Linked DNA regions of Struthio camelus. The protein of the gene in region 1 interacts with the protein of each later gene in a pairwise test. Links are inferred from orthologs where the notes say so. Each region holds a gene or a part of one and is shown on either strand. Other genes may lie near its edges. The genes, in order: MAPK7 and UBE2C.

Region 1 (14,820 bases):
TGGGTGACGGTGGCCACGTCGGGCGCCTCGGGCCAGGGCTCGGGGGCCCAGACCTCGGCGGCGGCGGCGGTGGTGGTGGTGGTGGTGATGGTGGTGGCGATGGTGGTGGTGGTGGCCACGGGGGCCGGTGGCGGCGGCGGTCGGGCCCCGTCCAGCATCTTGGTCCAGCGCTCGAGGAGATGGCGGTCGTCGTCGGTGAGGGCCAAGCCCCGCAGCCCCTCACCGCGGCCTCGGGGCTCGCGCCGCTCCCGCTCCTTCTGCTTCTTCTCCCGCTCCTTGGCCCGCTCCTGCCGCCGCTTGCGCTTCTCCTCCCGCTCCCGCTGACGCTCCGCCGCCGTCACCGGCTTCCGGCCCTCCGGCGCTTCCGGCGCCGCCGCGCACGCCGGCTCTGCGGGGGACGGAGCCGCGGGTCAGGGGGCCCAGGAGTCCGGGGACGGGGGACCGAGGTGCCCACCACCACCACCCGGGACCCACCAGTCCCGGGATGCAGCCCAGAGACGTCCACCACCACCACCCGGGACCCACCAGTCCCGGGATGCAGCCCAGAGACGCCCACCACCACCACCCGGGACCCACCAGTCCCGGGATGCAGCCCAGAGACGCCCACCACCACCACCCGGCACCCACGAGTCCCGGGATGCAGCCCAGAGACGTCCACCACCACCACCCGGGACCCACCAGTCCCGGGATGCAGCCCAGAGACGCCCACCACCACCACCCGGCACCCACGAGTCCCGGGATGCAGCCCAGAGACGTCCACCACCACCACCCGGGACCCACCAGTCCCGGGATGCAGCCCAGAGATGTCCACCACCACCACCCGGGACCCACCAGTCCCGGGATGCAGCCCAGAGACGTCCACCACCACCACCCGGGACCCACCAGTCCAGGGATGCAGCCCAGAGACGTCCACCACCACCACCCGGGACCCACCAGTCCCGGGATGCAGCCCAGAGACGTCCACCACCACCACCCGGCACCCACGAGTCCCGGGATGCAGCCCAGAGACGCCCACCACCACCACCCGGGACCCACCAGTCCCGGGATGCAGCCCAGAGACGTCCACCACCACCACCCGGGACCCACCAGTCCCAGGATGCAGCCCAGAGACGTCCACCACCACCACCCGGGACCCACCAGTCCCGGGATGCAGCCCAGAGACGTCCACCACCACCACCCGGGACCCACCAGTCCCGGGATGCAGCCCAGAGACGTCCACCACCACCACCCGGGACCCACCAGTCCCGGGATGCAGCCCAGAGACGCCCACCACCACCACCCGGGACCCACCAGTCCCGGGATGCAGCCCAGAGATGTCCACCACCACCACCCGGGACCCACCAGTCCCGGGATGCAGCCCAGAGACGCCCACCACCACCACCCGGGACCCACCAGTCCCGGGATGCAGCCCAGAGACGCCCACCACCACCACCCGGGACCCACCAGTCCCGGGATGCAGCCCAGAGACGCCCACCACCACCACCCGGGACCCACCAGTCCCGGGATGCAGCCCAGAGACGTCCACCACCACCACCCGGGACCCACCAGTCCAGGGCCACCACCCAATCAGGGGACCCAGGAGTCCCAGGGATGGAGCCCAGAACCACCCACGAGCACCGCCAGGGACCCAGGCGTCCGGGCACCGTTCACCTTTGCTCTTGTTCCTCATGGCCGACTTGAGCAGGGCGGCCTTGAGGGCGGCCTTGGTGTCGTCGGAGATGGCGCCGTCGCGCTTGGGGGCCGGCGGGGCCCCCGGCTCGGCCTTGACCCGGGGCGAGTCCATGGGGCAGTCGGGGGCGGGGCCGGGGCTGGGCATGTCCACGTCGGCGCAGGGCCAGGCCACGTTGGCGTTGGCCACGGAGACGCCCACCATGGGGAGGCCGGCATTGGCCATGGCGATGTTGGCCTCGGCCATGACGGCGTTGGCGGCGCCCATGCTGCTGTTGGCCAAGGTGGCCTTAGCCATGGCGGCGTTGGCCAGGGCGCCGTTGGCCAAAGCGGCGTTGGTCATGGCGGCGTTGGCCACGCCCACGCCGGCGTTGGCCATGACCACGTTGCCCAAAGCACCGTTAGCGTTGACCAAGGCGGCGTTGGCCATAGCAGCGTTGGCGTCGGCCGCGGTGGCGTTGGCCATGCCGACGGCGGCGTTGGTGCCGCCCATAGCCACGCCGGCCAGGGGGCCGTTGGCGTTGGCCAAGGCGGCGTTGGCCATGGCGGCGTTGGCGTTGGCCGCGGCAGCGCTGGCGTTGACCCCGTTGATGCTAGCGTTGACCGCGGCGCCATCGAGGTTGACCCTGGGGCCCTCAATGTTGACCAGGCCGCCATCGAGGTTGACCCTGGCGCCATCAAAGTTGACCCTGGCACCATCGACGTTGACCATGCCGCCATCAACGTTGACCATGCCGCCATCGAGGTTGACCCCGGTGCCATCAAAGTTGACCCCGGCGCCATCGACGTTGACCATACTGCCGTCGACGTTGACCCTGGTGCCGTCGGCGTTGACCATACCGCCGTCGACGTTGACCCCGGTGCCGTCGGCGTCGACCGCGGCGCCGCCGGCGGGGGCGAAGGCGATGTGGCGGCGGATGCCGTCGCGGCGGGCGTGGAAGTCGGCGATCTCGGCCACGATGGCCGCCTTGATCTCCTCCTTGGTGAGGGCGCGGCGGTCGAAGGCGAAGTCGAAGGCGGGCACGCACTCGGGCTCGTCCTCGGGGTCGTGGTACTTGGCCAGGAAGGGGTGACGCAAGGCCTCGGCCACCCCCAGGCGCTCGCGGGGGTCGAAGCGCAGCATGCGACCCAGCAGGGCCAACGCCGCCGGCTCGGCGTCGCCGAAGAGGCTCTCCCAAGGCACGGCCGGACGGGGCGGCAAGCTCTGCACGTACGCCCGCACCCGCTCGGCCCCGATGGCCGCCATGACGGCGGCCGGCGGCGTGCCCAGCACCGCCATGATGAGCTGCAGCTGGTGCACGTAGTTGCGACCCGGGAAGAGCTGCCGGCGACCCAACATCTCGGCGAAGATGCAACCCACCGACCACATGTCGATGGCGCGGGTGTAGCGGTGCAAGGAGAGCAGCAGCTCGGGCGCCCGGTACCAGCGGGTGGCCACGTACTCGGTGAGGAAGGCCTTGGCGTGACGCGGGTCGGCGCCCAAGCCCCGGGCCATGCCGAAGTCGCCGATCTTGAGCTCGCAGTTCTCGTTGACCAGCAGGTTGCTGGGCTTGAGGTCGCGGTGGAGGACGTTGGCCGAGTGGATGTACTTGAGGCCGCGCAGCAGCTGGTAGAGGAAGTAGCGCACGTGCTCCAGCGTCAGCGGCTGCGGCGAGTGGATGATCTGGTGCAGGTCGCTCTCCATCAGGTCCAGCACCACGTAGCTGCGGCCGGCGAAAGGTAAAGGGCCCAGGCGTCCGGCGTGCACGCGGTCGGGCTCTCGGAGGTCCCGTTCCACCCCGCGCCCAGCCCCTCGTTGAGGACCCAGGTGTCCCGGGTGGTGGTGGTGGGGGGGGTCCCGTTCCGTCCCATGAACCCCACCGGGGACCCAGGTGACCAGGGGTGTCCTGCTCCGCCCTACGTGCCCCATGGGGGACCCAGGCGTCCGGGGGGACCCACTCAACCCCAGAGCAGATCGAGGCGTCCAGGAGGCCCTGCTCCATCCCATGTGCCCCACCGGGGACCCAGGCGTCCGGGGGGACCCACTCAACCCCAGAGCAGATCGAGGCGTCCAGGAGGCCCTGCTCCATCCCATGTGCCCCATGGGGGACCCAGGCGTCCGGGGGGACCCAGGGGACCCACTCAACCCCAGAGGAGATCGAGGTATCCAGGAGGCCCTGCTCCATCCCATGTGCCCCATGGGGGACCCAGGTGTCCGGGGGTGTCCTGCTCCGTCCCATGTGCCCCGTGGGGGACCCAGGCATCCAGGAGATCCCGTTCGACCCCAGAGGAGATCGAGGCGTCCAGGAGGCCCTGCTCCATCCCATGTACCCCATGGGGGGCCCAGGTGTCCGGGGGACCCTACTTTGCCCCACTGAGGACCCAGAGCTCTGGGGAGCCCCGCTCCACCCCATGGCAGATCCAAGCGTCCGGGGGACCCCGCTCCACCCCACAGGGACCCAGGCATCCGGGAAACTCAGTTCCGCCCCACAACCCCACAAGGGACCCAGGCGTCCGGGAACCCAGCTAGGTGGACCTCCACGTCCAGCATCATCAACCCCACCACACCGAGGACCAAGGCGTCCGGGCAGCCCCTCGAGGGACCCAGGCGTCCGAGAGCACCCACTCCACCCCACAACCCCGCGGGAGGGGGCCCAGGCGTCCGGGCACGCACACGGAGCGGAACTCGCCGTAGGGCACGGTGGGCTTCAGGATGTCCTTGATGCCGATGATGTTGTCGTGCTTGAAGTGCTTGAGGATCTTGAGCTCGCGCAGCGTCCGCTTGGCGTTGGTCACCACGTCGAAGGCGTTGGGGATCTTCTTGATGGCCACCTGCTGGCCTGCGCCCCAGGGGCCCAGGCGTCCGGGGGTTCTTCAGCCGCTCAGGGACCCAGGTGTCCTGGAGCCTCACCCCCACCCCAGGAGCCCAGGCAGCCGGGACCATCCTACCACGGGGCCCAGGCGTCTGGGGCTCCTGCTCCCCAGGGACCCAGGTGTCCGGGACCCTCCCACCCTGGGGCCCAGGCGTCCAGGGCTCCCGCTCCCCAGGGACCCAGGCGTCTGGGACCCTCCCACCATGGGGCCCAGGCGTCCGGGGCTCCCACTCCCCAGGGGCCCAGGCATCCGGGACCCTCATGCCACAGGGGCCCAGGCATCCAGGGCTCCCGCTCCCCAGGGACCCAGGTGTCCGGGACCCTCCCACCATGGGGCCCAGGCGTCCGGGACCCTCACCCCACAGGGGCCCAGGCATCCGGGGCTCCAGCTCCCCGGGGCCCAGGTGTCCGGGACCCTCATGCCACAGGGGCCCAGGCGTCCGGGGCTCCTGCTCCCCAGGGACCCAGGCATCCGGGATCCTCGTGTCACAGGGACCCAGGCGTCCGGGACCCTCATGCCACAGGGGCCCAGGCGTCCGGGGCTCCTGCTCCCCAGGGACCCAGGCATCCGGGATCCTCATGCCACAGGGGCCCAGGCGTCCGGGGCTCCTGCTCCCCAGGGACCCAGGCATCCGGGATCCTCGTGTCACAGGGACCCAGGTGTCCGGGACCCTCATGCCGCAGGGGCCCAGGCGTCCGGGGCTCCAGCTCCCCGAGGACCCAAGTGTCCAGGACCCTCCCACCCTGGGGCCCAGGCGTCCAGGGCTCGCACTCCCCAGGGACCCAGGCGTCCAGGACCCTCATGCCACAGGGGCCCAGGCGTCCGGGATCCTCGTGTCACAGGGACCCAGGTGTCCGGGACCCTCCCACCATGGGGCCCAGGTGTCCGGGACCCTCCCACCCTGGGGCCCAGGTGTCCGGGATTCTCGTGTCACAGGGACCCAGGTGTCCGGGACCCTCATGCCGCAGGGGCCCAGGTGTCCGGGACCCTCAAGCTGCAGGGGCCCAGGCGTCCGGGACCCTCCCACCATGGGGCCCAGGTGTCCGGGACCCTCCCACCCTGGGGCCCAGGTGTCCGGGATTCTCGTGTCACAGGGACCCAGGCGTCCGGGACCCTCATGCCGCAGGGGCCCAGGCGTCCGGGACCCTCAAGCTGCAGGGGCCCAGGCGTCCGGGACCCTCCCACCCTGGGGCCCAGGCGTCCGGGCCCTTCGCGTCACCGGGGGGGGGGGAGGGTGGGGCCCAGGCGTCCGGCTCACCGGTGTCGCGGCGGCGGGCCGAGCTGACGACGCCGTAGGCGCCGGTGCCGATGGTCTCGATGATCTCGTACTCGTCGCCCACCTCGAAGGTGACGTCCAGCGCCCGGGCCTTGAGCAGGGCCAGGGGGCCGCCGGGCGCCCCCCGCCGCTCCCCGGCCTCCGCCTCCGCCATCCTGCGCCTGCCCCACAGGGACCCAGGCGTCCGGGAGGGGCCCAGGCGTCCGGGGGGGCCCAGGCGTCCGGGTCCCCCCCCAACCCCGCCGCTCCCCGGCCTCCGCCTCCGCCATCCTGCGCCTGCCCCACAGGGACCCAGGCGTCCGGGAGGGGCCCAGGCGTCCGGGAGGGGCCCAGGCGTCCGGGTCCCCCCCCAACCCCGCCGCTCCCCGGCCTCCGCCTCCGCCATCCTGCGCCTGCCCCACAGGGACCCAGGCGTCCGGGAGGGGCCCAGGTGTCCGGGGAAGGGCCCAGGCGTCCGGGAGGGGCCCAGGTGTCCGGGGAAGGGCCCAGGCGTCCGGGAGGGGCCCAGGCGTCCGGGGAAGGGCCCAGGCGTCCGGGTCTCCCCCAACCCCAGCACCCCCCCCCCCGCCGCTCCCCAGTCTCCGCCATCCTGCGCCAGCCTCACAGGGGCCCAGGCGTCCGGGCCTACCCGCCATGCGACATGGCTATGTCAGGGGCCCAGGCGTCCGGGGAAGGGACCCAGGTGTCCGGGAGGGGCCCAGGCGTCCGGGGAAGGGACCCAGGTGTCCGGGGAAGGGACCCAGGTGTTCGGGGAGGGGCGCAGGCATCCGGAAGGGGCCCAGGCATCCGGAAGGGGCCCAGGAGTCCGGGAGGAGCCCAGGTGTCCGGGGAAGGGACCCAGGTGTCCGGGGAAGGGACCCAGGTGTCCGGGAGGGGCCCAGGTGTCCGGGAGGGGCCCAGGCGTCCGGGGAAGGGACCCAGGCGTCCGGGAGGGGCCCAGGTGTCCGGGAGGGGCCCAGGCGTCCGGGAAGGGGCCCAGGTGTCCGGGGAGGGGCCCAGGCGTCCGGGAAGGGGCCCAGGTGTCCGGGGAGGGACCCAGGTGTCTGGGAGGGGCCCAGGTGTCCGGGGAGGGCCCAGGTGTCTGGGGTTGGGGGGGGCCCAGGTGTCCGGGAGGGGCCCAGGCGTCCGGGAGGGACCCAGGCGTCCGGGGAGGGGCCGCCGTCGCCATGGCGACCGCACCCCGCCCCGCTCCGTCACCATGGCGACGCCGCTCGGGCGGGGCGGGGCGGGGTTGGGCGCGGTCGCCATGGCGACGCGGGGAGCGGGGCGGCGGCGGCGGCGGGGGGGGGAAGGGGCGGGCGGGGAAGGGCGCGGTTGCCACGGCGACGCCGCGGCGGCGGCGGCGGCGGTTGCCATGGAGACCGCGGGCGGGCGGGGGAGGGAGGGGGGTTCCCGGGACGGCGCTCACCTCCCCCCGGCCGCGCCGCTCCCGCCGCTCCCCGCGGTGCCCCGGATGTAGCGCCTCGCCCCGCCCCCTCCGCCGCCGCCCAATCAGCGCGCAGCGGCTCCCCGGGCCGGAGCGAGGGGGGGCGGGGCTTCCGCGGGGAGGGGCCGCGCCGGAGAGGGTGGGGGAGGGTGGCGTTTGGGGAAGTGACGTCACGGGGCCGAAAGGGGGCGGGGCCGGATCCTTCCTCCCGCCCCCCCCAACCGGCCGCCCAGCGGCAGCGGGCGGGGCCCAGGCGTCCGGGCCCCGCCCCCCTTCGGCTTCTGACCCCGCCCCCGAGGGGGTTCGCAGGGGCCCAGGCGTCCGGGGGCCCCTAAGGCAGAGGGGCCCAGGCGTCCGGGTGCGTCCAGGACCGGAGGGGCCCAGGCGTCCGGGCACATCCTGGACCGGAGGGGCCCAGGCGTCCGGGCGCGTCCAGGACCGGAGGGGCCCAGGCGTCCGGGCACATCCTGGACCGGAGGGGCCCAGGTGTCCGGGCGCGTCCAGGACCGGAGGGGCCCAGGCGTCCGGGCACATCCTGGACCGGAGGGGCCCAGGTGTCCGGGCGCGTCCAGGACCGGAGGGGCCCAGGTGTCCGGGCACATCCTGGACCGGAGGGGCCCAGGCGTCCAGGTGCCCCCAGAACCGGAGGGGCCCAGGCGTCCGGGCGCATCCAGGACTGCAGGGGCCCAGGTGTCCGGGCGCGTCCAGGACCGGAGGGGCCCAGGCGTCCAGGTGCCCCCAGAACCAGAGGGGCCCAGGCGTCCGGGCACATCCAGAACCAGAGGGGCCCAGGAGTCTGGGTGCCCCCAGGACCGCAGGGGCCCAGGCGTCCGGGTGCCCCCAGAACCAGAGGGGCCCAGGCGTCCGGGCACATCCAGAACCAGAGGGGCCCAGGCGTCCGGGTGCCCCCAGAACCAGAGGGGCCCAGGCGTCCAGGCACATCCAGAACCAGAGGGGCCCAGGCATCCGGGCGCGTCCAGGACCGGAGGGGCCCAGGCGTCCGGGCACATCCAGAACCAGAGGGGCCCAGGCGTCCGGGCGCATCCAGGACCGGAGGGGCCCAGGCGTCAGGGTGCCCCCAGAACCGGAGGGGCCCAGGCATCCGGGTGCATCCAGGACCGGAGGGGCCCAGGCGTCCAGGTGCGTCTAGGACCAGAGGGCCCAGGCGTCCGGGTGCGTCTAGGACCGGAGGGGCCCAGGTGTCCGGGCACATCCAGGACTGGAGGGGCCCAGGCATCCGGGTGCCCCCAGGACCAGAGGGGCCCAGGCGTCCGGGTGCATCCAAGACTGGAGGGGCCCAGGCATCCGGGACCCCATAGCACCTCCAGGGGTGGGTGAGCAGGAGGGTCCCAGGTGTCCGGGACCCCATAGCACCTCCAGAGGTGGGTGAACAGGAGGGGCCCAGGCATCCGGGACCCCTTAGTCCATCCAGGACGGCAGCAGGGAGGTCGCCCGGGACGGAGCCGGGGCGGAAGGTGCCCGAGGACGCCCGGCCTTGGAGGTGCAGGTCAAGGTGGAAAGTGCTGGAGAACCTCTAGACCTGGAGATGCGTCCGAAAACGGAGAGTCTTGGAGGACACTTGGGTTTGGGGGTGATGGAGGTGCGCCCCAAGATGGAGCATCCTGGAGGACACCTGGGCTTGAAGGTGGTGGAGGTGTGCCCCAAGATGGAGCATCCTGGAGGACACCTGGGCTTGAAGGTGGTGGAGGTGCGCCCCAAGATGGAGCATCCTGGAGGACACCTGGGCTTGAAGGTGGTGGAGGTGCGCCCCAAGATGGAGCATCCTGGAGGACATCTAGGCCTGGAGGCGATAGAGGCGCACTCCAAGATGGAGAGCCCTGGAGAACCCCTGAACATGGGGCTGATGGAAATGGACTTCAAGGTGGAGAGCCCTGGAGGATACGTGGGCTTGGGGGCAATGGAGAAGCTCCCCAAGATGGAGGCTCCTGGAGGACACATGGGCTTGGAGAAGCCCCCCGAGATGGAGGCTCCTGGAGGACGCATGGGCTTGGAGAAGCCCCCCGAGATGGAGGCTCCTGGAGGACACGTGGGCTTGGAGAAGCCCCCCAAGATGGAGGCTCCTGGAGGACACGTGGACTTGGAGAAGCCCCCCGAGATGGAGGCTCCTGGAGGACACGTGGACTTGGAGAAGCCCCCCGACATGGAGGCTCCTGGAGGACTCGTGGGCTTGGAGAAGCCCCCCGAGATGGAGGCTCCTGGAGGACACGTGGCCATGGAGAAGCCCCCCAAGATGGAGGCTCCTGGAGGACACGTGGGCTTGGAGAAGCTCCCCGAGATGGAGGCTCCTGGAGGACACGTGGCCATGGAGAAGCCCCCCGAGATGGAGGCTCCTGGAGGACACGTGGCCATGGAGAAGCCCCCCAAGATGGAGGCTCCTGGAGGACACGTGGCCATGGAGAAGCCCCCCAAGGGGCAGAGCCCCCATGGAGGCCGTGACCCGGAACCGCTGCCCATCCCGCCCCTCACCCCGCCCCCCCGCCCCGGGGCCCAGGCGTCCGGGCGCCCCGCCCGCCCCCAGCCCTGATTGGGCGGGAGGACAGCCCCGCCTCCTCTGCGATGCCGTTGGGCGAGGGGGTGGCCGGGTGGGCGGGGAGCAGACGCGGGATTGGCTGAGAGGAGAGGGACCGCGATGGGATTGGCCGAGAGTGGGTGGTTGGGGGGGGGCGGGATTGGCCGAGAGCGGCGTGACATCATCGAGGGGAATCCGGGGCAGATCCCGCCCGGGGATTGGCCGGGAGGAGACCGGAGAGGGCGGAGCACGCCATTGGCTGGGAGCCAGTGGGCGGGGCAGAACGGAGGCGCGGGATTGGCCGGGAGGAGGCGGCGGCCGCTCTGGGCAGCCAACGGGGCCGTCTCGCTGCTCCCGGAGGCCAATAAAGAGCCGGAACCAGAGAGAGAGAGAGAGAGAGTCGCTGCCGGGGCCCCGGACGCCTGGGCCCCTTGGGGGGGGGCGGGGCCAGAGACGAGCGGAAGCCGGAGGATCCGATTGGGCCCTTTATTTTCCCGCCGCGGAGCCGGGGAGGGAAGCCACGCCCCCTTCTGGGAGGGGCGGGGCCCGGGCGGAGCCCTAAGCGGGGCCCGTGGGGGCGGAGCCGTGGCGGAGCCCCGCCCTCCCACGTGGGGGCGGGGCCGAGGGGGCGGGGCCGGGGTCATGGCGGCGCTGGTGCTTGCGCAGCCCCCCCCGGGCCCCGAAGCGCTTGGGGCAGTGGGGGCAGGCGAAGGGGCGGAGCTCGGGTGAGGGGGCGGGGCCTCCACCAGAGGGATCCGCCCCTTCCGGCCCCGCCCCCTCGGCCGGGGCTCTGCCGGGCGCCGCCACGTTGGGGCCTGCGCAGGCCGGGGCTCCGCTGGGCGCCGCCATGTTGGGGCCTGCGCAGGCCGGGGCTCCGCTGGGCGCCGCCATGTTGGGGCCTGCGCAGGCCGGGGCTCCGCTGGGCGCCGCCATGTTGGTGTCGCCACCCAGCAGAGTTCCCCCGGGGGCGGCCATGTTGGGGCCTGCGCAGGCCCGGGCGCCGCTAGGGGCGGCCATATTGGGGCCGGCGCATAACAGGGTTCCGCCGGGGGCGGCCATGTTGGGGCCTGCGCAGGCCGGGCCTCCACCGGCGGTGGCCATGTTGGAGCCTCCACACGACAGAGCGGGGACGGCCATGTTGGGGCCGCCACACAACAGAGTTCCGCCGGCAGCGGCCATGTTGGGGCCCACGCGGGCCGGACCTGCGCCGGGGGCGGCCATGTTGGGGCCGCCACACGATGAAGTTCCTCCGCTAGGGGCGGCCATGTTGGACACCAACCCTCCGCCGGGGGTGGTCACGTTGGATGCCAGCCCTCTGCCGGGAACGGCCATGTTGGATGCCAGCCCTGCGCCGGGGGCGGCCATGTTGGGGCCGCCACATGATGAAGTTCCTCTGCCATGGGCAGCCATATTGGATACCAGCCCTACTCCGGGGGCGGCCATGTTGGACGCCAGCCCTGCGCCGGGGGCGGCCATGTTGGGGCCGCCACACGATGAAGTTCCTCCGCCATGGGCAGCCATATTGGATACCAGCCCTACTCCGGGGGCGGCCATGTTGGACACCAGCCCTGCTCCGGGAGCAGCCATGTTGGACGCCAGCCCTGCGCCGGGGGCGGCCATGTTGGGGCCGCCACAGGATGAAGTTCCTCCGCCGAGGGCGGCCACGTCGGGACCCACGCTGGTGACGGGGGCGGCCTCGTGGCCGTGGGTGCGCTCGTGCTTGCGCAGGCTGGAGGAGACGACGAAGGCCTTGCCGCAGCGGGCGCAGGCGAAGGGCCGCTCGCCCGAGTGCACGCGCCGGTGCTTGGTGAGGCCGGCGCGCTCGGCGAAGGCCTTGCCGCACTCGCCGCAGCGCCAGGGCCGCTCGCCCGAGTGCACCAGCCGGTGCCGCTTGAGGTCCCAGGAGGCCACGAAGGCCTTGTCGCACTGCGGGCAGCGGTGGGGCCGCTCGCCGGTGTGCACGCGCCGGTGCACGGCCAGGTCGGCGGGTTGCCGGAAGGCCTTGCCGCACTCGCCGCAGCCGTAGGGCTTGAGGCCCTGGTGGGCCCGCTGGTGGCGCCGGTAGCTGGACGGGTCGGCGAACATGCGGCCGCACTGGGGGCAGAGGAAGGGCCGCTCGCCCGTGTGCACCCGCTGGTGGCTCTGGAAGGAGGAGAGCTGGGTGAAGGCCTTGGGGCAGCGGGGGCAGGCGTAGGGCTTGCGGGGGGCGTGGATGCGCTGGTGGCAGGCCAGCGAGGAGGAGCGGCCGAAGGCCTTGCCGCACTCGGCGCACAGGAAGGGCCGCTCGCCCGTGTGGCTGCGCTCGTGGTTGCGCAGGTCCTTGAGCTCGGCGTAGGCCTTGGGGCAGGCGGCGCAGCGGTAGGGCCGCAGGCCCGCGTGGCCGCGCCGGTGCTTGCGGTAGACGGAGGGGTCGGCGAAGGCCTTGGCGCACTCGGGGCAGGCGAAGGGGCGCTCGCCGGTGTGGGCCCGCTGGTGGACGGTGAGCTTGGCGAGGGTGCCGTAGGCCTTGGGGCAGGCGGCGCAGGCGAAGGGCAGGGGGGCGGCCGGGCGGCGGCGGGCGCGCAGGCAGGAGGCCTGGGCGAAGGGCTGGTCGCGCTCGGGGCAGGGCAGGGGGGCGGTGGTGGGGGGCGGCGGGGCGGCGTGGGTGCGAGCGTGCCGCAGGGCCCGCGGAGGGTTGGGGAAGGTCTTGGCGCAGGTCGGGCATTGGTAGCGGCGGCCCGACTTGACGTAGGGCGGCGGGGCGGCGGGCGGGTCATCACGCGGGGCGTTGCGCCCATCATCATGGCTGTCGTTGCGCCCATCATCATGGCTGTCGTTGCGCCCATCATCACGCGGGGCGTTGCGCCCATCATCATGGCTCTCGTTGTGCCCATCATCATGGCTCTCGTTGCGCCCATCATCATGGCTGTCGTTGCGTCCATCATCACGCGGGGCGTTGCGCCCATCATCATGGCTGTCGTTGCGCCCATCATCACGCGGGGCGTTGCGCCCATCATCATGGCTCTCGTTGCGTCCATCATCATGGCTCTCGTTGCGCCCATCATCATGGCTCTCGTTGCATCCATCATCATGGCTCTCGTTGCACCCATCATCATGGCTCTCGTTGCACCCATCATCATGGCTCTCATTGCGCCCATCATCATGGCTGTCGTTGCGCCCATCATCATGGCTCTCGTTGCGCCCACCATCACAAGGGTCATGGTGGGCATCATCACGGGTCTTCTTGCAGCCATCATCACACGGGTCATGGTGGGCATCATCACGTGGGTCATGGTGGGCATCATCACGCGGGGCGTTGCGGGCGTCATCATGGCTGTCGTTGCGCCCATCATCACGCGGGGCGTTGCGGGCGTCATCATGGGTCTTCTTGCACCCGTCATCACGTGGGTCGTTGCACCCATCGTCACGCGGGTCATGGTGGGCGTCATCGCGCAGGTCATGGTGGGCATCATCACAAGGGTCATGGTGGGCGTCATCACGCAGCTCATGGTGGGCATCATCACAAGGGTCATGGTGGGCGTCATCGCGCAGCTCATGGTGGGCGTCATCACACGGGTCATGGTGGGCGTCATCGCGCGGGTCATAGTGGGCGTCATCGCGGGTCTTGTTGCGCCCATCATCACGCGATGGGTCACGGCACCCATCATCACGGCTCTCGTGGCACCCATCATCACGTGGGTCGTTGCACCCATCATCACGCGGGTCGTTGCACCCATCGTCACGCGGGTCATGGCACCCATCGTCACGCGGGTCATGGCACCCATCATCACGCGGGTCGTGGCACCCATCACCGCGCGGGTGGTCGCAGGCGGCGGCGCGCCCCTCGCCCCCGTTCCCCTCCATGGCGGCGACCTGGGCGGGGGGAGGGGCCGGGTGAGGAGGAGGAGGAGCAGCAGCAGCGGCGCCCGGACGCCTGGGTCCCCTCCCCCCTCCCCCCCCCGCGTACACGCGTGTCGCAGGCGTGTTCTCCCTCCCCCCCCCAATGCTGCAGCCGGGCGGGGGGGGGCGCCCCTCCCCCCAGCTCCTTTGTCAGCGCACAAGATGGCGGGAGGGGGGCGGGGGCGGGGCATGGTGGGGCGGGGCCAGGCGAGGAGTAGGGGGTGCTATGCAGGAGGGGGGGGGCCGTGCAACGCCCGGGGGGGTGCAATGCATCATGGGGGGGGCCGTGCAATGCTCAGGGGGTGCAATGCATCACGGGGGGGGCCGTGCAATGCTCGGGGGGTGCAATGCATCACGGGGGGGCTGTGCAATGCTCGGGGGGTGCAATGCACCGCGGGGGGGGCCGTGCAATGCTCAGGGGGGTGCAATGCACCATGGGGGGGGCCGTGCAATGCTCGGGGGGGTGCAATGCACCACGGGGGGGGCCGTGCAATGCTCGGGGGGTGCAATGCACCATGGGGGGGGCCGTGCAATGGTCAGGGGGTGCAATGCATCATGGGGGGGGCCGTGCAATGTCCGGGGGGTGCAATGCACCATGGGGGGGGCCGTGCAATGCTCGGGGGGTGCAATGCATCATGGGGGGGGGCCGTGCAACGCCCGGGGGGGTGCAATGCACCATGGGGGGGCCGTGCAATGCTCGGGGGGTGCAATGCATCATGGGGGGGGCCGTGCAATGCTCAGGGGGGTGCAATGCATCATGGGGGGGCCGTGCAATGCTCAGGGGGTGCAATGCATCATGGGGGGGGCCGTGCAATGCTCAGGGGGGTGCAATGCATCATGGGGGGGCCGTGCAATGCTCAGGGGGTGCAATGCATCATGGGGGGGGCCGTGCAATGCTCGGGGGGTGCAATGCATCATGGGGGGGCCGTGCAATGCTCAGGGGGGTGCAATGCATCATGGGGGGGGCCGTGCAATGCTCAGGGGGGTGCAATGCATCATGGGGGGGCCGTGCAATGCTCAGGGGGGTGCAATGCACCGCGGGGGGGCCCGTGCAATGCTCGGGGGGTGCAATGCACCACGGGGGGGGCCGTGCAATGCTCAGGGGGGTGCAATGCACCGCGGGGGGGCCCGTGCAATGCTCGGGGGGTGCAATGCACCACGGGGGGGGCCGTGCAATGCTCAGGGGGG
Region 2 (14,021 bases), on another chromosome or scaffold:
AGGAGCTGGCAGGAAGGAGGCCGTTGCTCCACTAGCGCCTACCTTACCGCGTCGGAAACCTTCCCCACGCCGCCGCACCCCCGCACCCGCCCCATCACACCGCCCTCCCGCAGCGATGCACCCGTATGCCCTGCACCCCCACGGGCCCACCATCAGCACACCCACACCACCAGCACAACCCCCAATACACCCACACCACCAGCACAACCCCCAAATACACACACTACCAGCACAACCCCCAAATACACCCACACCACCAGCACAACCCCCAAATACACCCACACCACCAGCACACCCCCCAAATACACACACTACCAGCACACCCCCCAAATACACACACCACCAGCACAACCCCCAAATACACCCACACCACCAGCACAACCCCCAAATACACACACCACCAGCACAACCCCCAAATACACCCACACCACCAGCGCACCCAATACACCCTCACCACCAGCACAACCCCCAAATACACACACCACCAGCACAACCCCCAAATACACCCACACCACCAGCACACCAATACACCCACACCACCAGCACAACCCCCAAATACACACACTACCAGCACACCCCCCAAATACACACACTACCAGCACAACCCCCAAATACACCCACACCACCAGCACACCCAATACACCCACACCACCAGCACAACCCCCAAATACACCCACACCACCAGCACAACCCCCAAATACACACACACCACCAGCACACCAATACACCCACACTACCAGCACAACCCCCAAATACACACACTACCAGCACAACCCCCAAATACACCCACACCACCAGCACACCCAATACACCCACACCACCAGCACAACCCCCAAATACACCCACACCACCAGCACACACCCCAAATACACACACTACCAGCACACCCCCCAAATACACACACCACCAGCACAACCCCCAAATACACCCACACCACCAGCACAACCCCCAAATACACACACCACCAGCACAACCCCCAAATACACCCACACCACCAGCGCACCCAATACACCCTCACCACCAGCACAACCCCCAAATACACCCACACCACCAGCACAACCCCCAATACACCCACACCACCAGCACAACCCCCAAATACACACACTACCAGCACACCCCCCAAATACACACACCAGCACAACCCCCAAATACACCCACACCACCAGCACACCCAATACACCCACACCAGCAGCACACCCCCCAATACACCCACACCAGCAGCACAACCCCCAAATACACCCACACCACCAGCACACCCGACAAATACACCCGCACCACCAGCACACCCCTCCAAATACACACACCACCAGCACAACCCCCAAGTACATACACCACCAGTACACCCCCCAAATACACCCACACACTTCTACACACCCCTGTCATCCCCACACTCCTGTCACCCCCAAACCCTCCATCAGCCTCACACCCCGCCACCCCCCACACCCCCACATTGCTGTCACCCCCAAACTCGCCCGTCACCCTCACACCCCCGTCACCCTCACACCCCTCGTCACCCCACACACCCCCTGTCACCTCACACCCCCCCGTCACCCCCACGAGCCTCCTGCCCCGCCGAGGGCCGCCCACACCCCCCCGCCCCGGCCGGCCCGGGCCGGGCCCGCCGTTGCCATGGCAGCCGGGCGCTTCCGGCGGGCGGCGCGGCGCGATGACGCCGGCGCGCGGCGGCCGCTTCCGGGCGCGAGGGCGGCGGGCCGGGGCCGGGGCCGGGGCTGGGGCTGCGGCCGCGGCCGCCATGGGGGCCGCCCGCGACGCGGAGCAGCAGCCGGGCCCGCCGGGCGAGGAGGGCCCGGGCGGCGCCGAGGAGCAGCTGGTCAGCACGGTGAGGCGGGGGCCGGCGGGGGGCCGGGCCGGCGGGGGGCCGGCGGGGCCGGGGCTGACGCGCCTCTTCCCGCAGAGCCCCTGGAACATCATGATCAAGCACCGGCAGGTGCAGCGGCGCGGCCGCCGCTCCCAGATGACCACCAGGTAACGGCGGCGGGCCGGGCCGGGCCGGGCCGCGCTGCGCTGGGGGGCACGGGCCGGGCCGGGCTGGCCGGACGGAGCCGATGGGGAGCGGGACCGGGGAGGGGAGGGGTCCCGACTGGACCTGATACGGAGGGGGTGGGGGGAGACCGGGCCGGGTGGACCTGGAGGATCGAGAGGGGAGACTGCGGCAGTGGGAGGACCGGACTGGGCCAGGCTGGGAGGGGGCAGCTGGACTGGCCTGGAGGAGAGGGTCTGGATTAGACCAGACTGGGGGAGGGGGTCTGTGCCACCCACCTGATCTCTGCACCTTCAGCTTCACAGACCCAGTCGTGTCCATGGAGCTGCTGCGAGCCGTCCTGCAGCCCAGCATCAATGAGGAAATCCGAGGCGTCTTCAACAAGTACATGAAGGTGAGAGCTGCCGGGGCAGTGCCTCGTGCCACCCTGTCCCGCTGTGGGCCCTGCAGGAGGAGCTTGGCTCCTGGGTGGCTGTGTGAGGCGGTCACGCCTGTCCTGTGCCAGCCTGGCCGCTGGCACGCGGGTGCAGTGTGAGAGCACAAGTGCACCATGTGCTTGCCCCGATGTTGCCTTGCTGGTCAGGCTCTAACCTTCTCCTGCTGCCTCTTCACCAGTTTTTCCAGAAAGCAGCAATCAATGTGCGTGATAATGTCGGGGAGGAGGTGGACCCAGAGCAGCTCATCCAGGAGACGTGCCGGAGTTGCCTAGAACAGGTGGGCACCATAGCCAAGGGCCCTGCACACCCGGGGCAGCCTGGTATGTCCAGCAGCGGCAGACTACTATTTGCTTGGCTGGCTGTGCAGAGCAGCCTGCGGTAGGGCATGTTCCTCCTCACAGTCTTGCAGAATAGCCAGAGGAGGGCGTCCACAGTCCTTCCGTGGATACTGTGCTCGACTTCTTTTTCCCTGTCGAAAAGGAGAGTAGTCGGGGTTGGGTAGCTCTCAATGAACTGCTGCTTCCCACTGATGCTCTGTCCATGCTTGTTGCACACAGCTGACAGCAGGGAGCTTTCACAGTGACTCTAGTTCCCTGGTACCCGTTGAAGGTTCCTCCAACAAGACTGTGATCTTCTTCTTTCAGATCTTACTTTTGTGCCGGTCATCCTGACTTGATCGTGCTCTTGCATCTCACTGTCTGTGAACAGCACTGCGCTTTAGAATCACTCTGCAACCAGAGCTGATATAGGGCTTCTGGCCAGATACACTTGAATCTCTGGGGTCTGCAGTGACCAGCCCTTGTGGTCTACTGGGCATCTGAGTCATTAGCTATGGCCTTTAAAGTTTACCTGGCCTGGGGCTCTCTCTCCAGCGCGAGTGTCTTTGCACACATGAGCCCCTTTCATAGGGAAAGGCAGGGGTAGCTGGCAGTCCCTCTCTGGACCCAGAATCAGATAATCCTTTCTCTTCTTACAGGCCAAGCTGCTTTTCTCTGATGGCAAAAAGGTGATCCCAAGGTTGCCCCATGAGCAGGCGGTACCAAAGGTAAAAGTTGTTATTGTTCCTGTAGTCTTAAATGACTTTAAGAGCTGGAAGAAATAAGAGGAGGGTTTTGAGTTGCTTTGTTTTCTGCCTGTTCCTTATCTGTTGAATTACAGAATCAATATGTAAGTGGGGGGTACAGTGTTGTCCTTTAAAAGCTGCAGGATAGATCTCTCCCTGATATCTGGTTGTCCATCAGTTGCTCTAATGAGGGGGTAGAACTGGGAGATGTTGGGCTAGGAGGGAGGGGGTACAGAGCAACAAAAGTCCCATGCGCTGTTGCTTATTGCAACTACGTGCTTCATACCGAGATGGGTTGGCTTCAGCGTTCCCTGTGCACTTGTGCTCTGTGCCCCAAGTGCGGCAGATAAGAGAGTAGCTGACAGGGTGGGTGGGGGTTCTGACTAGACAGGGAGAAGGGCTGCTGTTCACTTCCTGCCGTTCCTTTGCCAGCGTGCCAGACAGATGGATGAGGAGTTGAATCGGCGAGGAAGCCCTGTTCCCAAAAAGGTAGGGTTTTCCACAAAAATGCTTTTATGTTATGGGAAGCCTCTTCCTCATCCTTCCCAGAAAATAAGTGCATGCAGATGCAGCTTTTGTAATGCCTTAGAGGTCCTTACTCTAGGGCTAGCCAGCACTTTGCTCGTGGTAAAAAGAGCAATTTTCCCAGCAGAGGATAACCGAAAGAGTACCCTCAGCCTACACAAATGAGTAGCTCAAGGATATCTTTCTTGCAGAGAAAGGGTCGGCCTCCAGGACAGAGCCTGGCAAATGATCGTGGGGTCTCGGGCATGGCTGCGTGAGTATGGGTTCTGACTTAGAGCCTGCGCTTGGAGAGGGTGGGGAATGAAGCAGGGAGTGTAGAAGACCCTCTGGAAAGCAAGGCCCAAAGGGGCAGAAGGGTCCAGATGGACTATTCAGGGTGAGCAGTATATGACACAGGTAGAGGTGGGATGTTGGCAGCTGGGGAGAAGAGAATGTGCAGCACGGATGAGGATCCAGAGCTGGGCACTGGAGAGAAATAGAAGGTGTGAATGCAAATGGAGCTGGGAGGGGGTGGAGCTCAGCTCCCTGCTGCTAGGTGCTTGCGGTGTTCTGTGAGTTGGTGCCTCTGGGATCCGTTCTTATTTCATTTTCCTTCCCCTCAGGTGGAAGCTCAAAGTCTCTGAGCCCGTGAGAAGGGATGGACCAAAGGTATCGGTTGGCCAACACTGCTGGGCTCACCCTCTCCTCCTCTTTGCTTCCGTCAGCAGAGCCCCACCTGCTGTGGGACCGGAGGACAGTTCTAAGCTGTGCTCTGCCCTGATGGGCCTCTGTGTTGCAAAGAAAGAAGCAAGAAGAGGAGTGAAGTGCCTGGAAGCCTATGCTCGTCTCCTCCAGTCACTGTAGCCTATAGTTCTGTGGTGTGGTACCAGCTTTTCAGGAGACTTAGGGCAAGCAGTAGTAGCCAGGAGGATCCCACGAGTGTTATGTGCCGAGGAAACTGCTTAGAGCAGCCCAGGGTGACATAATTTCCCTCCTCTGTGGAAATCCAGAGGTTTGTGGCTAGCTGCCTCCCTCCCAGCTCAGGGGGCGGTTCTGAGGCCCCCATCAGAGATCTGAGGCTCATGGAGCATTGGTTGGCACCAGCTTCATTTCTAATGTTGCCCCTTTTCCAATTGCTCTGTAGTGGGATCCATCCCGACTGACTGAAACCACAACCTTTGTGCTGGGATCTCGAGCAAACAAGTAAGGAATGGCCCTGTTGATGGAGGGTGGTGTCTCCCAGGCAGGAGCCCTTAAGACTCCTCCCATCACCTCTCTGCCTTGGAAGCAGTAGGAAGGGCACGGGCTTGGGGAGGAGAGGAGAGGAGAGTAAGTGTCCCTGTACCGCTCAGTGCCCCTTCTGCACCGGTTTAACACCCGCCTCGTGTTCCTGTTTCAGAGCTCTCGGGATGGGAGGAACAAGAGGGCGACTCTACATCAAACATCCCCACCTCTTTAAGGTCAGATACCACAGCAGGATGCTTCCTCCTTTGGGGTTTGCTCAGAAACAGTTTGTGATGGGAATCAGGAATGTATGCTTTGGCTCACTTGTTGTCTTCCTCTCCCACACCCTTGTTTGTTGTCTTAGAACATCTAGAGTCTGGCTAGCACACTGAAACATAAGCTAACAGCCTAGTGCAGCCTCTGAAGTGGTGTTTTTGCCTGGAGCCAGGGTTTTACTCTGAAGTAAAAGCAGGCAGAGCTGAGCGTTCCCTCCCTGAAGATACAGATCGGCAGCATTTGGGGGGTCGTGCAATTGCAGTGGAGCACTAGAATGGGGTTCAGTGCCCAAATACAGGGGTGGTCAGAGCAAAAGGTCTGTTGCCTGTGTTCAGCTAGGTCCTTGCTGCTTTATTGCAGTATGCAGCCGATCCGCAAGATAAGCACTGGCTGGCAGAGCAGCAGCACATGAGGGCCACTGGGGGCAAGATGGTGAGTACGTTCAGGCTTGCGCCTGCCGCAGCCTGAGAGAGAACTGTACAGAATCCCAATTCAGGATTGAAATGGGCAGGTGAGCAGTAAACCAGGGCACGTGCAGCGAAAACAGTGTGTTGTGGGGAAGGTGAGTTTGTGCAGGAGGCCAGGCAGAGCTCGGTGAGGCAGTTGTTTCTGGGTGCTTGGGGCACCTCAGCCAAGGAGATTGTGTTTTGCTGCTCCTCTGGGATTTGGGCACATATGAGAGAGTAGGGCAGAACCAGGAGGTACCAAAAGCTCCTCGTAGGAGCAGGTCTGCAGGCTGGTGGGGTTTAACAGGGCCAGCGGGAAGGGGGTTATGAGCTTCCATCACTGTGCCAGGCAGACATCTCATTTCTGAGCAGAAGCATGGTGCGTCCAAAGCTCTCGCATGGGAAACCTGAAGCGTTTTGCCCCTTGTGCTGCAGGCTTATCTCCTCATTGAAGAGGATATTCGGGATTTGGCTGCCAGTGAGGATTACAGGTGAGGCTAGAAGCCCAGAAGTCTTTTGTGCTGCAACCTTCTCCCCTTTAGTGAAAATGGCTCAGAACCAGGGGCTACCCTGCCCGTGCAAGAGCCGCAGGGGTCCCCGCTCAGCGCTGGCCTCTGCCCTCCGCAGGGACTCCGTTGACCTGAAGCTGGAGGAGCTGAAGCCCTTCATCCCACCGGCCTGGATGACGGAGAAGATGCAGAAGTACATGGAGACGCTTCGCAACGGAGGGGACCCGCTACCGCCGCCGCCGCCGGAGGGGCCCCCCGAGCCCTGAGGCCTGCCCTGCCCAGTGGCCCCGCCGCCGCCCGGCGCCACCCCGGCACCGGCCCTCGCAATAAAGCTGCTTCGCACCCGCCTCCGCTGCCTCCTTCCCGAGGGGTAGGGGGGTTGGGGGGGGGGGGTGCTGGCCCTTTAAGGGGTCCGCCTGGACCCCCCCCCCCCACCCCGGGCTGGGAGGTCACGTCACGGGTGAGCCGCCAATAGGGGAGCGTGTGTGGCGTCGCCGTGCGACCAATCGGCGGCCGGCCGCTGTTTCCAAGGCAGCCGCATCCCTTGCGAGCGGTGATTGGTCGGCTCGAAGGGAGCGCGCCGCCGATTGGCGGAGGGGCCGCGGGTTTGAAACATTCAAACGGGGGCGCGGGAGCGGCGGGGGCGAGCGGGGACGGCGGAGCGGGGACGGCGGGGCCGGCAGCGGAGCGGAGCGGGGACAGCGGGGCCCGGAGCGGAGCGGGGACAGCGGGCCAGGCCGAGCCGGGCCGGGCCGGGAGCAGCCGGGCCCGGGGCGGAGCGAAGCGAAGCCGGGGGCAGCGGGCCGAGCGGAGCCGGGCCAGGGGCAGCGGGCCGGGAGCGGAGCGGAGCCGGGGGCAGCGCCGGGCGCAGCAGGGCGCGAGCAGCCGCGGCCGGAGCCCAAGAGCAGGAGGCGGAGCGGGAGCCGCGATGGCCTCGCAGAACGCGGACCCCGCCGCCGTGCCGAGCGCGGCCGCCCGCAAAGGGGCCGAGGCGGGGGCCACGGCCGCCCGCGGCTCCGTGGGCAAGAGGTGAGGCGGCGCCGGGCGGCCGGGGCGGCTCGGGGGAGCGCGGCCGCCCCGGTAACACGAGCTTCCCCCGCAGGCTGCAGCAGGAGCTGATGTCGCTGATGGTGAGTGGGGCGCGCCGGGGTCGGGGGGGGGTCCGCTGGCTCCGAGCCCCCCTGACGGCGCTGTCCCCGCAGATGTCCGGTGACAAGGGCATTTCCGCCTTCCCCGAGTCCGACAACCTCTTCAAGTGGATCGGGACCATCGACGGCGCGGCCGGCACGGTGAGCGGCCCGGGGCACCCGCGGGGCCGGGGCGGTCCGGCCCCCCCCGGGCCCTGCCTGCCCCCCCCCACCCCCGACAGGGGCGGCCCCGGCCCCCCCGGGCCCTGCCTGCCCCCCCCCACCCCCGACGGGGCGGCCCCGACCCCCCACCCCGGCCGGCCCCCTCCCTGACTCCTGCCCCCAGGCCTACGAGGACCTGCGGTACAAGCTGTCGCTGGAGTTCCCCAGCGGGTACCCCTACAACGCGCCCACCGTGCGCTTCGTCACGCCCTGCTACCACCCCAACGTCGACACCCAGGGCAACATCTGCCTCGACATCCTCAAGGACAAGTGGTCGGCCCTGTACGACGTCCGCACCATCCTGCTCTCCATCCAGAGCCTGCTGGCAGGTGGGGCCCGGCGCGGGGTTCGGGGCTGTGCTGCCGGGGGGGGCCGGGCTGGGCGAGAGCTGCGCCCGCCGGCGGCGGGGCACGGCGGGCCGCTGGGGTCGGGGCCACCGCCGACCCCGTGCCCTGTCCGCAGAGCCCAACATCGAGAGCCCCCTGAACACGCACGCGGCCGAGCTCTGGAAGAACCAAGCTGGTGAGTGTCCCGGGGCGGGATCCCCGCTCCTGCCGCGGCCAGGCGCCGCGCAGCCCCGGACCCCGCTGCGCGGGTGCTGCCCGGCGCCGCGCTGCGCTCCTGTTGCGGGGCTGCCCGGCCGCTCTCCCGGGCCCCTCAGCACCATCCTCTCCCTCTCCTCGCAGCCTTCAAGAAGTATTTGCGGGAAACGTATGCCAAGCAGGCGAAGAGCCAGGAAACTTGACCCCGCGCTCCCCCCCTTCCCGCCGGCAGTGTCTGTCTCTCGTTCTTGGGTCTCTGCTCTCCTGCTCTGTCTCTGTCCTGCCGCTCTCCGCGGCTTTCTGTATCATAGGCTGTTTTTAAATTAATTCTGCAGTCCGAGCCACGGTTAATGTATAAATAAATGCACGTTTATAACTCTGTGCTGGGGGCCCGGAGGGTTAAGCTGCAGCCTGGCATCTTGTCCCTGCGCATGCCTGGTGGCCCCTTCCCACGGGCGCCGTGGCCCAGGCCCCTCTGCCCGTGCGGGAATCAGGAGGGACAACAAACCTCGAGGGCTGACGGGGTCTTTAATAACCCTCCGCGGTGCCCGGGGCATCGCCGGCTCCGCGGCGGCCGCGCCGCCCCAGGCTGCGGGACGGGGGTCCCAGCCCTGCCACTCTCTCGCCCGCCCGGGGCGCATCACAGGACCGCGCAGCAGTGCCCAGTGCCCGGCCGCGGCCCCGCAGCCTGCCTCTGCCCCCGAGCCGCCCCGGCCCGGGTAGCCGCGCTGCCCGCAGCCCGGCCCCGCTGCGTGGCCTCCACCGTCCACAGCGGGATGTTGGCTCTGCTCTCCATCTCCGCCAGCATGGCCCTCATCTGCTCGATCTCCTCCTCGGGCCGTGGGGCGGCCGGGGGCCGCTCGGGGCTGTGGCTGCCCTGGCGGCCGGGCCGCCCCCCGCCGCGGCACGGGCCCTCGGGCCGGCCGCCCAGCCCGGTGCGCAGCAGGGCCGCGCCGCCGGCGCCCGGCGGGCCGAAGAGCTGGCCGAGGTGGTGGGCTTTGCGCAGGTCCTGCAGGAAGAGCTCCAGGGCGCAGAGGAAGAGCACCCACAGCCGCTCCAGCTCCAGGCGCTCCTGGGGGCCGGCCGGCGGGCGCCGCAGCCCCGCCACCAGCGCGCTCCGCAGGCCTGCGGGACAGCACGCCGCTGAGCGGGGACGGATGGCCCCGCGCCCGGCCCCTTCCGACCCCCCCGGTCTGGCCCTGCCCTGAGGCAGCGGCTGCCCCAGCCCCGGCACAGGGTGGGCGGCCGGGGGCGACGCACCGCCCGGGGGGGTGACCCCAGCACCTGGCGCCCTCCCCGGTCCCCGTGGGCCAGCCGTGCCTTACCGGCGCTGAGCTCGCGCGCCCAGGCGCTGCTGCGGCGCAGCTCCTCCCGCAGCTGGGCGCAGTCCGCGCTGCCGCCCAGCTGCAGCACCAGCTGCCGGTGCCCGGCCGTGGCCCTGCTCAGAGCGGCCTGGGCGGCCGCGCACGTCCCTGCTGCCCCTGGGGCGCTGCCCGCGCCCGCTCGCGCCGCCATCCGCCGCCGCGACGCCCTGGGGCTCGGCTCCCCCGTGCCCGCGCGGCAGTTCCCGGCCGTGGCTGCGCTCCTCCCTGCCGGGGAGGCTGCGCCGAACCGCAGCAAGGGGGGTCCCCGGGGAGCGGCGACATTCCAGCAGCCTGGCACGGGGCTCCCGGCGTCACCGCTGCTCCCGGCGTCACCTCGAACCGCCGGCTCTGTCCCTCCCGGGGGGTCCCCCGGGCTTGGCGGACTCCGGCGCCCCTGCCCCGCAGCGGCGGGCAGCAGCCCCGGCCGGGGGGTCTCCTGGAGGTTGGCTGCAGGCTGGGACCCCCGGCTGAGCCAGCTCCCAGCGCCGTGGGGCCACGCGGAAAATCTGAGCTCACGGCTGGCGCCGGCCCAGCAGGCCGTGGGAACCGCCGGCCCGCGCCTTCCCGCGCTGCCCCCGCTGCCCCCCGCCCAGGGAGCCCCAGGCAGCAGCAGCTCCAGCCTTTTCCCCTTTTAATGAGGCTCAAACATAAACCGCGTCTGACGGAGCAGAGGGAAAGGCCTTGGCCGCCGTCCGCGGAGACCGGAGCTGCGGCGCGAGCGGGGGTCTCCCCAGCCGGCCCATGGTGCTGCGGGGGCCCGGCCGGAGCCGGCGGTGCGGGGCCAGGCGCTGCGGACATGCTGCTTCCCATGGGGCGCCGGCACGGCGGCGGCGGAGCGGGGCTGGAAGCAGCGGCCGGGCCCCGGGAATGTCTGGTCCCTTACTGCACGCCCTCCATCATCTTGAGGAACTCTGCAAGAGAGCGGCACCGTCAGCGCCGGGGCCTGCCGGGGGCTCGGCGCCGCGGCCCGGGGCCAGCCGGCGCGGCGGGCGCCAGCGCTCACCGTCAAAGTCGATGCGGCCGTCGTTGTTCTTGTCCGAATCCTTCATGAGGTCCTCTATGTCCTCCTCGGTGACGTGCTCGCCGGTGGCCCTGAGGATCTCGCCCAGCTCCTCGATGTCGATGAAGCCGTCCGCGTTCCTGCCGGAGGCGAGGGCAGGTGGTCGGGCCGGGCAGGATGCGGCCGCCGGCCCCCCTGGGGCAGGCGCCCATGGGCATTGCCACCCCACTCACTTGTCGAAGACGCGGAAGCAGTTGGCCAGCTCCTCCTCGGACTTGCCCTTGGCGTCCTCCTTCATCTGGCGCACCATCATCACCAGGAACTCCTCAAAGTCGATGGTGCCGCTGCCTGCGGGGAGGAAACCGCAGAGCGGTCAGGGGTGCTGCCGGGGGCCCGCCGGCCCGCCGAGGAGGGCTGCTCACCATCCTCGTCCACCTCCTCGATGATGGCGTCCAACTCCTCCTTGGTGGGGTTCTGGCCCAGCATCCTCATCACCGTGCCCAGCTCCTTGGTGCTGATGTCCCCGCCGCCGTCCGCGTCAAACATGTCGAAGGCAGCCTTGAACTCTGCCGGAAAGGGGGTGTCAGGCAGGGCAGCGTGTGGGACGAGGCCTCCGGCACCTGGGGAGAGACCCCCGGCCGGGATCCGTCCCCGCGCCCCACGGCTCCCTCACTCACCCGCGATCATCTCCTCGCTGAGGAAGGCACGGGCTTCCGCTTGCTGGTCCGTCTGCAAGGCGCGGGGAGAGGGGGTCACCACCAGCCCCGCACACCCCAGCCCCTGTGCCAGATAGCACAGCGCCGTTCCCTGGGGCGAGGAGCTTCCCAAGGGGGCAAGGAGCTTCACAACAGGGTGAGGAGCTTTATGATGGGTGAGGAGATTTGCAATGGGGTGAGGAGATTTGCAATGGAGTGAGGAGCTTCGTGATGGGGTGAGGAGCTTTATGATGGGTGAGGAGATTTGCAATGGGGTGAGGAGCTTTGTAATGGGGCCAGGAGCTTCACAATGGGGAAAGTCCTGGCTCCCACCACCAGGCTCCAGCGCATCTGCCCAGCGCAGCCCTGCAGCCTGGCACACGGGTGCCAGCGACAGAGCTTGCATGGCCGGAGTGCTAACGGCGCTGTGCGCGGGACGAGCGCGCCCTGGGCAGTCCCAGGTGCTGCTGGGCCTCCGCGCGGGCTGCGCGAGGGCTGCGGAGAGCTGCCCGGTGCGGGCCCCCGTCCCTGCCGGGGGGCCCTGTGGGGCCGAGGCCGCGGTCCCCGCCGCGCAGCCTTGGCATCCCAGGCGTGCAGCACTATTTTTGGGATCTCCTTAGCTCCCCTTATAGGGAGCAGCGGGGCTGCGGGCACCTGTCGGCCCTGGATCGAGTTTCGCCTGGAGAGCCGGCCGGCCCCCGTGCCCCCAGTGTCGCATGACCCAGTGCTCAGCTTACAGCCGCAGCTGCATCCTCGTCCTCGTCCTCCTCCTCCTCGGTGCAGCACAGCGCACCCCGGGTCCGGCCGGGGCGGCTCCCGTGCCCCTCGGCTCGGCCGCGCGGCCCCTGCCCTGCCCGACGCCTCCCAGCTCCGTCCGCGCCGGCGCCGCTCAGCCCGGCCGGTGGTGACGTCCCTGCTGCCTCCCTGGCACATCCCGGCACAGCGGGAGGCACGTGCAGCCCCAGTACCGCCCGCCCTGCCTGGCGAGGGGACCCCCTCGCACCCCGGCACGCGGCACGCCGCAGGCGTCGAGACCTTACCATTGAAGTCATTTTCGCCGCTTCCTTCCCCTAGGGAGTCACCACCTCCTGCACCGAAAAGCCCCCCGAAGCTCCCCGGTGCCCCTGGCGCCCCAATTTGTAGCGTCCGCGCTCTGCACCCTGCCCCTGCCGTCGGCCCCGCGGCCCCGGCAGCCTATCAGCTCCCCGGTGGAAATCCGGCCCCGCTCATTGGCGATGGGTGCATTTTACCTAATTTAGCCAAAGCTTTATTGGCCAAGAGCTGGGGATTAACCGCGGGTGCAGAGCCGGGACAGAAATTCAAGCCCGACGGGGAGGGACGCTGGAGCCTGGACAGGAGCGTGGCTCTGCCCCCTCCGCAGCACCCACCCGCCCGGGGCAGCCCAGCAAGGAGGGGGTTAAAAATAGCCGCAGGGCAGGCAGCACCCCCCCCCCCGTGCAGTGGCCCCCTGGAGAACGGGAGGACGAGGCACCGCCACCCTGAACCCGCATCCGCCCGCCCGCCGCCCCCAGCGCGCCCGGGGCGCCAGCCCGGCCCCGCCACCTCCGGCCCCTCCGCTCGCCTGGCCCGCGTCCTCCCCTGGAGGGCGGCCCGGGGCAGAGCCGGGCGGGCACCGGGGCCGACGGGCAGCGCGGCCTGGGAGCGAGCGGGGCGCGGGGCACCGCGGTCCTGGGGTGCTGGGACCAGCCCGCACCGCGGGGCGCCGGCTCCTGCCACCCGGCTCAGGTGCCCAAGGGAGAGCAGGAAAACTGCCCGGCGTCTCCTAGAAGCATCCCAGCATGTGGGAGCTGGGCACGGCAGCCGAGCCCGGGCTCCAGCGCCTCCGGCCCCCTTGGGATGCAGCTAGGAGGTCTGGGGCACTGCTTGGGGTATCCCCCAGCACCAGAGGCAGACCCCATCCAGGGAGCACACGGTCCCCATCCCAGCCCGGGGAGCGCATGGTCCCCATCCCAGCCCGGGGAGCGCACGGTCCCCATCCCAGTCCACAGAGTGCACGGTCCCCATCCCAGCCCGGGGAGCGCACGGTCCCCATCCCAGCCCGGGGAGCGCACGGTCCCCATCCCAGTCCAGAGAGCACACGGTCCCCATCCCAGCCCGGGGAGCGCACGGTCCCCATCCCAGCCCGGGGAGCACACGGTCCCCATCCCAGTCCAGAGAGCACACGGTCCCCATCCCAGCCCGGGGAGCGCACGGTCCCCATCCCAGCCCGGGGAGCGCATGGTCCCCATCCCAGCCCGGGGAGCGCACGGTCCCCATCCCAGTCCACAGAGCGCACGGTCCCCATCCCAGCCCGGGGAGCGCACGGTCCCCATCCCAGCCCGGGGAGCACACGGTCTCCATCCCAGTCCAGAGAGCACACGGTCCCCATCCCAGCCCAGGGAGCACACGGTCCCCATCCCAGTCCAGAGAGCACACGGTCCCCATCCCAGCCCGGGGAGCACACGGTCCCCATCCCAGCCCGGGGAGCGCACGGTCCCCATCCCAGCCCGGGGAGCACACGGTCTCCATCCCAGTCCAGAGAGCACACGGTCCCCATCCCAGCCCGGGGAGCACACGGTCCCCATCCCAGTCCAGAGAGCACACGGTCCC

The links.
Region 2: the proteins of MAPK7 (region 1) and UBE2C interact in binary tests that used the Homo sapiens proteins (3 or more experiments, as listed by UniProt). The two-hybrid records come from large-scale screens. The link is inferred for Struthio camelus from reciprocal best matches to the Homo sapiens genes MAPK7 and UBE2C.

What each region holds. Positions count from the first base shown.
Region 1 is NC_090973.1:405,962-420,781, reverse strand, and holds the start of MAPK7 (mitogen-activated protein kinase 7), read right to left. Parts: upstream 7,265-14,820; 5' UTR 7,206-7,264; intron 5,959-7,205; 5' UTR 5,952-5,958; coding exon 5,780-5,951; intron 4,488-5,779; coding exon 4,322-4,487; intron 3,372-4,321; coding exon 1,651-3,371; intron 389-1,650; coding exon 1-388. Other genes in the region: ZNF668 (zinc finger protein 668), read right to left, coding at 10,312-13,596. UniProt on the Homo sapiens protein: Plays a role in various cellular processes such as proliferation, differentiation and cell survival. The upstream activator of MAPK7 is the MAPK kinase MAP2K5.
Region 2 is NC_090959.1:19,296,421-19,310,441, forward strand, and holds UBE2C (ubiquitin-conjugating enzyme E2 C), read left to right. Parts: upstream 1-7,111; 5' UTR 7,112-7,389; coding exon 7,390-7,490; intron 7,491-7,563; coding exon 7,564-7,591; intron 7,592-7,663; coding exon 7,664-7,750; intron 7,751-7,934; coding exon 7,935-8,139; intron 8,140-8,272; coding exon 8,273-8,332; intron 8,333-8,496; coding exon 8,497-8,555; 3' UTR 8,556-8,733; downstream 8,734-14,021. Other genes in the region: DNTTIP1 (deoxynucleotidyltransferase terminal-interacting protein 1), read left to right, coding at 1,754-1,840, 1,916-1,986, 2,300-2,396, 2,618-2,716, 3,416-3,484, 3,935-3,991, 4,219-4,280, 4,630-4,675 and 5 more; regulator of G-protein signaling 9-binding protein-like, read right to left, coding at 8,993-9,477, 9,678-9,824, 12,582-12,636; TNNC2 (troponin C, skeletal muscle), read right to left, coding at 10,596-10,627, 10,720-10,856, 10,950-11,064, 11,139-11,282, 11,394-11,445, 12,452-12,463. UniProt on the Homo sapiens protein: Accepts ubiquitin from the E1 complex and catalyzes its covalent attachment to other proteins. In vitro catalyzes 'Lys-11'- and 'Lys-48'-linked polyubiquitination.